Neurospora crassa OR74A: one gene and its partner. The protein of the gene in region 1 interacts with the protein of each later gene in a pairwise test. Links are inferred from orthologs where the notes say so. Each region holds a gene or a part of one and is shown in the gene's direction. Other genes may lie near its edges.

The links.
Region 2: the proteins of NCU08359 (region 1) and NCU08952 interact in a two-hybrid assay, tested with the Saccharomyces cerevisiae proteins (2 studies listed by BioGRID). The link is inferred for Neurospora crassa OR74A from reciprocal best matches to the Saccharomyces cerevisiae genes CDD1 and GCD7.

Annotation. Positions count from the first base shown.
Region 1 is NC_026501.1:5,632,093-5,635,722, reverse strand, and holds NCU08359 (cytidine deaminase), read left to right. Parts: upstream 1-1,517; 5' UTR 1,518-1,833; coding exon 1,834-2,246; intron 2,247-2,451; coding exon 2,452-2,533; intron 2,534-2,631; coding exon 2,632-2,685; 3' UTR 2,686-2,906; downstream 2,907-3,630. Other genes in the region: NCU08358 (hypothetical protein), read left to right, coding at 1-417; NCU08360 (hypothetical protein), read right to left, coding at 3,198-3,630. UniProt on the Saccharomyces cerevisiae protein: This enzyme scavenges exogenous and endogenous cytidine and 2'-deoxycytidine for UMP synthesis.
Region 2 is NC_026505.1:5,799,509-5,804,087, forward strand, and holds NCU08952 (translation regulator GCD7), read left to right. Parts: upstream 1-1,466; 5' UTR 1,467-1,801; coding exon 1,802-1,899; intron 1,900-1,956; coding exon 1,957-3,009; intron 3,010-3,068; coding exon 3,069-3,156; 3' UTR 3,157-3,816; downstream 3,817-4,579. Other genes in the region: NCU08951 (ribosome biogenesis protein Nhp2), read right to left, coding at 98-540, 648-933; NCU08953 (hypothetical protein), read left to right, coding at 4,248-4,579. UniProt on the Saccharomyces cerevisiae protein: Acts as a component of the translation initiation factor 2B (eIF2B) complex, which catalyzes the exchange of GDP for GTP on the eukaryotic initiation factor 2 (eIF2) complex gamma subunit.

The DNA of each region.
Region 1 (3,630 bases):
GGCATCCAGAACAAGAACACCAACATCTTTCAGAATCTGGATTCCCAGATCTCCGAAGGCGGTCTCAACTTGTCTCAGGGCCAGCGCCAGCTCCTCTGCCTTGCGCGCGCCATCGTTTCGAGGCCGAGAGTTATGGTCCTGGACGAGGCCACCTCGGCGGTGGATATGCACACGGATGCGTTGATCCAGCGGTCTATTCGCGAGGAGTTCACTGATGCAACGCTGCTCGTTATTGCTCACCGTTTGAGCACGATTGCTGATTTTGATCGCATTTTGGTGCTGAGCGATGGCAAGGTTGCCGAGTTTGGAACGCCGAGGGAGCTGTGGGAAAAGGATGGTGGGAGTGGAGTGTTTAGGGGGATGTGTGAAGAGAGTGGTGAGAAGGAGAAGTTGAAGGATATCGTTTTTGCAAAATAAAAGGTTATGGGGGTGGAAGGGATGGATTTATGGTAACGAACGGACGAAAAACTGGACGAAATCCGTGGGATATTGGAATTTGGGAATAGAAAAGTACTGCGCCTGGGGAACATACATCCCTTGAGAGGTTTAAAAGAAGCCAGACTCACCGTATTGATATACTGAAAAAATAGATATATTGTTGGAGATTTGACGCTTTATGTCTGGACCAGACACTTGCAAACTTGCAGTTGTCGTCAGTGAAAGAACCGGTCTGCACAATCTAATGCCAGTTTGTTGATCGCAACTTAGTCCCATATTGCCTCAAACATCATGAGGACACATTGAGGTCATTAGGTATGGATGGGATATGCTTAAGAATTTGATCGGAAACGCACACATAAATTTTGACATCACATATCTGCAGTTGGGATATTTAAGCAAGCCAAGATAGTTCAGCTCTTGAATATGGAACGACACGTATTAATAGGATGAAAGGCCTAGGGAACTTGACCAGAGGTCTCGAGTTGACAAAGAGGCTAAGATTAAGACTACATCCGGTGTCGGTATTCTATCTCGATATCAACATCTCGGATAACCTCGATATCGGAAGTACAACCAATCGTCCATTCTGTCCCCAATCTTGATTTTCAAAACATTCGTCTTTAACCGGCGATTTTTTGTAAAAATCTAAAAATGCATGAAAAAAGACATATGCCACGTCCTGTTACAGAGTAATGACTGGTTGCCCATTCTTTGACCTGGACATATTCAACTATACACCGGAAGCGGTATGCCGAAATGGTGACCGACTCTTTTCTTGATAGTGACCTCATGACCCGCGGTTTTGAGTTGAGAGATAAGTCAGTTCCCACAATAGGCAAGGGACCGCCGATGTTACAGGGGCTTGCAGGGCAAAGCAAGAAGGTCTAAGAGATAAGATAACGAATAGGGCGGGGTGGCGGGGTAGCCGTCCTGCTAGCTTCCGCTCTTTCTCCGCTCTCCGGGGACCGCTGGTCGGCACGCCCCGTTGTCACCACCTACTCGCTGGTAGTCGGTCGGATGCGCTGTCTTTTGGCCGAAATCACCCCTGGGTAGGCTAAACAATGGTCTGGGGAACGGCCCGAGGTACTAAACAATGAAAGACCCGGGAGAATCTGGACGGAAAGGGGAGGAGGGATGAAAGGCGAGTTTGTACGATACACTTTTCCAGTCTTCAACTCGAGACACAATTTATGCCTACCTGTACCGACTTGGTGACGACTACAACACACAAAGTGCTCTTTCTCTCCTCAAATTCTCATTGATCAGCATCTTCCACCATCCAGCCATTCTTCTTCACACACAAAACAGAAGGCATCCCCAACCCCATAACCACTACACTTGGGTCACATTCACCACCACCATCACCACCACCATCACCAAAACAACCACACCATGGCGCCCCCAACACCACCCATCCTCAACGGCCACTCTGAAACCGTCATCGCCCAAACCTGCCAAACCTACAACCTAACCCCCTCCGAATTCGCCCAGCTGCGCGACCGCGCCGTAGCCGCCAAGGCCACCTCGTACAGTCCCTACAGCAAGTTCCGTGTCGGCGCCGTTTTGCTGTCCACCGGCAAGGTCAACGCCGCCGTCACGGGAGAGAGATCATCATCATCATCATCATCAGAGGGAACATACACGCCGGGAGCCAACGTGGAGAACGCCAGCTACCCCGTGACCACGTGCGCGGAGCGGGTGGCCTTCGGTAGGGCGATTACCGAGGGACACCGCGGGTTCAAGGCGGTGGCAGTGGCGACGGATATCAGCCCGCCTGCTAGTCCTTGTGGCATGTGTAGGCAGTTGTGAGTTCCCCTGATATCCATGCTACAGCTAGCTACGCCCTTTTCGGTGTTTCCTCTTTTTCTTTTCCTTTTTTTTTTTTTTTTTTTTTTTGTTTGTTTATTTTTTTTTCTTTCTTTCTTTCTTTCTGTTTGAAAGAGAAAAGGTGGAAGATAGATAGATATGCTTTGCTGACTGACCGGGCTTTTGCAAATTGATGCGTTATAGTATCCGCGAGTTTTGCGAATTGAGCATGCCTATTCTCATGTTTGATAAAGATGAGAATTTCAGTGTTTTGCGGCTTGAAGATGTGAGTTATTACCTTTTTCGTTCTTGCTTGTCCTTCGACCTTTGGCGTCTCGTGAGAGTTCAAAAAGGGGTTTCCTGACATTTTTTTTATATATCTAGCTTCTCCCATTGTCGTTTGGCCCTGATCAGATGGGTATTGAGGGCGCTGCTTAACTGTTTCCATATGATGGTCTCAGGGAAAGACACAGAAGGGTCTCACAATTATGTACCACTTGATCAACTTGGGTGTCAGGAACGGAGCGGAGCGGACAGTTCAGGGAGTCAGGGTCATGTAAACATAGGGGCAAAGCCCCATGTATTCTTTATCGCGCAGTTTTGAAGAGAATCATGGCATAATGAGCCCCAAAACCTGATCAACACAAATAGTATCAACCCCAGTGCCTGACGTACATTACTTCTATCCGACACGCAGTTTCGCTGTGTGGTCCTTCCAGCCTAGAGTAAGCTACTTAAGTCAGGAACTTGCCCAATTAAGAATCACGTCCGTACTATCTTAATGATTTGTCAACCCCAACAAGACAACCGCCATGCGATGAAAGAGAGAGAGAGACAACATGCAATGAATGGACCCAGGAAAAGATCCCACAAAAAAAAGAAACATGACTCCAGACAGCACCACCATACCCCAATAATCAGACTCATTTCGCCCTTTACCCTAATGCCCTTCAATATCCAAACCCATCATGTTGATGCATAGGACACCTGCCCGGGTGTCTCTCCCACCACGCACTTATACACGCTCTGTGAAACCTGCACAAACACTCCAACCTAGCCATGGCCACCCCAGGCTCAAACTCCTCCAGACAAATCGTGCACTCCGCCGAGTCCACGCAGTCTTTCTCCGTCGCCGTGTATGGAAACATGCCGGTCCGCCGTGGCGGTGCTGGTGGCAGTGATGAACTATTGGCTCCGCTACTTCCCTCTCCGTTCTCGTCAGTCACTGCTGGACGGACACTGCCATTATACGCGCTGTGCGTGGCTATGCATTGGTTTATGTGGGATTCGCGCAGAGTCTCAAAGTTGGGAAGATTGCGTGATGGAAGCTCCCTATGGCAGACCGGACACTCATCTTCCTCGGGAATGATGTGTTGTTGTTGG
Region 2 (4,579 bases), on another chromosome or scaffold:
TGTCATGGTCTCATGTGCTCCCGCTGTCGCCATCATGTCGTTGCAGCCTTTCATCTTTTGTGTGTTTTGTTTCGCTCGAGTCATTGCTCCCGCCAATTTAGGCAGTGCCCTTGACCTTGGCCTCGATCTGGAGCGGGTGAGTACCCTTGACCCAGGGCTCGACCTGGACGTTCCACTGTTTTTGCGCCGTCTTGACCAGCTCCTTGTAGGCCTCGAGGTACTCGGCAGGGTCGACCTTGTCGCCCTCCTCCTTGCCAGAGGACTTCTTGCCCTCGGGCTTGAGCATCACCACCGAGGTGGCGCGCTTGGTGCAGGCGGCAACGCCGAGGTCGGCGCGCGAGCGAATGTACAGGTAGGGAACGCCGTGCTCCTCGCACAGAATGGGGAAGTGCATGATCACGTCCATGGGCGAGATGTCGCCGGCGATGATGACGAGGCCGGGAGCGTCGGCGGGAGGGGAGGCGGCGGTCCGGAGGGGGCACTTCTTGATGGCCTTCTCGCACTCTTTTACGCCGCGGTGGATGGACTTGAGCTTGGCGCCTGTTTGTTTTTTTTAATCAAAAGTTAGCTTGGGTTCAGTACAAGTCGTGCGTGGGCTGCGATTGAGGAGCCTGGCAATGCAATTGGAGAGTAGTCACAAAACGTACCCTTCTTGATCAACTTGTAAATCTTCTTGTGGGTCTTGTCGTCGGCGAGGGGAAGGGCAAAGGGGACGAGGTCCTCGGCGGTCTTGACGACATCCTCAGGGTCGACGGAACCCTCCTTCTCGAGGTGAGCCTCGACGGCCTTGGCGAGCTTCTCGGTCTTCTCCTTCTTCTCCTTCTTGTCCTTCTTCTCCTTCTTGACACCGGCCTCCTCGCTCATCTTCTTCTCCTTCTTGTCCTTCTTCTCGGACTTGTCCTTCTTCTCCTTGATCTTGTCGGTGGCACCCATCTTGTCGGATTAAATGTGTGTGTGTGTTGTTGTTGGTGGTGGTGGTTGGGTGTGTGTAGATAAAGTTGGTGGTGGAGGGGGATGGGGTATCAAACAGGAATTAAAGAATGGTTATACAGACAACCACTGCAGTAAAGAGAAAAAAAAGTTACTGGGTTGGGGCGTCAAGGTATTTGGTATCGTGATGGGGCGGTTGATCGCAGAAATGGATTCTTCAACGCAGATTTTACTGGGTCCATCAAGTGACCCAGTCAATCAAAGCAGAGCGACGCGACCAAAAATTTGTAGGCCAATTGTAAAGCCGTTCCGCCCGGGGGCCGATAATGCAGGTGAGCGCCTGGAATTGGGTGCGATAAGAGGGACCAATTTTCCGATAAGCACGCGATAAGAGGAAATGTCTTAAACTTCCACCTTTTGCTTGGTGGGGCTTTCCATTCAGTACGACAGGGATTAGTAGTAGTCTTGAACTTAAACAAGGCCTGCTTCTAGCCTGCCGCAAACTGGCAAACAGCGGCAGTGCTTTGTCCTTGAAGGCCGGTTGCTTGCCTGCCCCACTAAATTTCTAGAGCTTGTGATACCTACCTCCAAGCGCATTCAGTGTGAGCCATTGACTCACCTCGACAATTCACTGGCAAAAAGTCCACAATCCCAAGCGACATTGGCCCAGTTCTGGAAGCTATTGTTGGAGAACCTTTTTGCGACCAGCAGCCTTGTCATTCCCCCCCGCCTATATCGATTTCATAGATATCCGTCCAGTACCATTCGTAAAGACCATACAGCCTCGAGCAGGGAACAGTCGCACTCTCACTTCGACATCACCTCCACAATACCTCAGTAGCACACAGAGTACTATACACAGCTCATCGCCATGGCGTCGTCGCAAATGAGCTATGCCCCCACGTTGGGCAAGCTCCTCAAGTCTCTCAACACTCAGCCCTTGGAGGCTTCTATCGAGGCTCTTATTTAGTACGCCTACGCCTGCTTCATATCTATCTTATATCAGATCCTAACATGGTTGGGCAGCCTCCTAAAACGTCGCCAAGTCAAGGGCGATGATGTCGCCAATGCCACAGCCCATATGCTGCTCCAGGTCGTCGCCAAGTCTAAGTGGCAGAACGTCGATCAGCTGCTCGCAAAGGTCTCCAACACCGGCCACAGACTTGCCCAAGCTGCTCCCACTGAGCAAGTCATCGGCAACGTTGTCCGCCGAGTAATGGGTCTTATTCGTGATGAGGCTTCCGAGGACAGAAATGCCGACGAGATGGGCGACTCAGTATCCGACCTCTCCCAGCTGCCCACAACGCCCACCATTTCCACAAGGCCAGGCCCCACGCCCCTCCGCGCCGCGACTCTCCCCATGTCCAAGTCCATGTTCAACCTTCTCTGCGTCTCAGAGACCGCACAGTCACCAGTTACCGGCGCATCTACCCCCATGTCCCAGGGCGCATCTGCCAACATGCATGCCCTACGGTCCGAAGTTATCGATGGCATCGAAGAGATTATGGACGAGATCAGCCAGGCGGACGACCAGATTGCGGGTTTCGCGGACATCCAGATTCACCCCGGCGATTACGTGCTCGCCTACCTCCCCTCCCCAACAGTCGAGAGATTCCTCCTCAAAGCCGCAGCAAAGAGGAGGTTTACCGTGTTCATCGCCAGCGCTGAGCGTCAAAAACCCGGCGAGGTGCCCCATGCTGCCCTACGGAAGAAGCTCAACGGTCTCGGGGTCAACGCCATCAGCCTGGCTAGCAACGGCTTGATGGCCTATATGCCTAGGGTGAACAAGGTCGTTATCAGCGCCAAGGCCGTATATGCGAACGGCGGTATTTCCACAGAGAGTGGGTGCAGTACTGCTGCTAGGGCAGCGCAGGAGTACTCCAAGCCCGTTATCGTTCTAAGCGGTGTTTACAAGTTCTGCCCCGTAGATCCGTCGGACGATGGGACCGAGTTCGAGCAGGGAGATTCTTCGACGTATGTCGACTATGCCGACGGTGAGGCCGTCGATGCCCTCGAGGTAGAGAACATCGTGGGCGAGTACCTGCCACCCCAATACGTCGATGTATACCTAACAAACCTGTAAGCCCTGAACCCATAATTTTGATGACTGAAGAACCCCAACACTAACAACTTTACAGTGGCCCCCAAACACGAGATCATCTTGCCACCATCATGGCCGACCATTACAAGCTCGAAGATATGGGCTTGTCTTTGCATCTGCCTTAGAAGCCGAAGAGAAAAAAATGAAGAAAATAAAAAGACGCGGTTAATAATGTATCATGCTGCCGGTCCAATGCAATACTCGTTCAAATACCTCTCGACTGTTCCTGGTTCAACCTGGCCGACCAATATGCGTTCCGAAAATACAACATCGTGCGTTGCATATATGTCAACTGAAGAGTCATATCTGTACCCATAAACTTGTTTGTTCCTTATCATCGTGCATATTTCGGTAGTCCCGATGGCGAGGTTTTGCGGATTCACCGGACTCAGTAGCTTTGGACGCTGGCAGAGGCTTCGACGGGCATGGTTAGATGGGGTGAAGGGACAAGATGTGTCGCTTTTTCTTGCTGGGCCGCCATCGAACTTAAGGATCTAGATGAGTGCAGTACAGCATCACGTAAGGATATCGTATATAAGCAGGAATCGGGGCCTCCGCTGCGGACATCGGATGCTGTTATGTCGGACTTCATCTGCGCGCCGAAATATATTTCCCTGGAAAATACATCTCCCTGCACAGGGAGTCTGACAGATACTTAAACTTGCCCATCCATTCTCTTTCCACTCGAATTAATTCCCTCTCTTTTTCTCGTCATCCGTCTACGTACTCGGTTCCTCGCTCCTTAGGTCATTTATCCACGTAAATCAATACATCAACGGCTTGTCCTTACTTCACGATCCTTCAGACACCGATACTTGTCTATCGCGTCCCTTTCTTCGAGCGGGAGTCATTCTCCGTCTTCTCCAGCTCCTTTTTCATACCATCCACGTGACTGTTTGGGGCTACATCCTCACGGTCTACGCTCGAACGGCCTACACACGTACGGTCTATATACCTACACTACACACAACCACTGTTCAAGACTCCTACAGTGCAAATCCCCACGGGTCATTACCTCCGATCATGATCCCATAGTCTATCCATCTACGACCTACATACCTACCTACGATCCGTACACCGACGGTCCAAAAACCCACGACCATCGTCCACATAGCTCAACCCGTTACCTCCTCGGGGAATCCGCTCCAACCTCAAATCATACGCTCGCTCGGCCGGATCGCGATAATCCAACCAGTCAAAGTCAACTACCACCAAAATGTCACACGCACGCTCCTCGTTTTTATTTCAAGTCCTCTCCCTTTCCACCGACACCCCCACGACTTCTTTCACTAGCCCCCCGCAAGAACAACCTGCCACCGCTGCCGCCGCATATCCTCCTCTCGGCTCTCCGAGAAGTGCACCCACAGACTGGCCCGACGAAGCGGAGGAGATAATCTGCTACTACAAAAAGATGCGCGAAGAAGGCAACTCACCCCTCCTTGACCCCGCGAGGGTACCTGATGATGTTTATATGGGTATGGAGGAGGACATCAAGAACCGGCGCCTTTTGAATAAATGGAAGAAGAGAAGAGATCTCGACGATTTTAG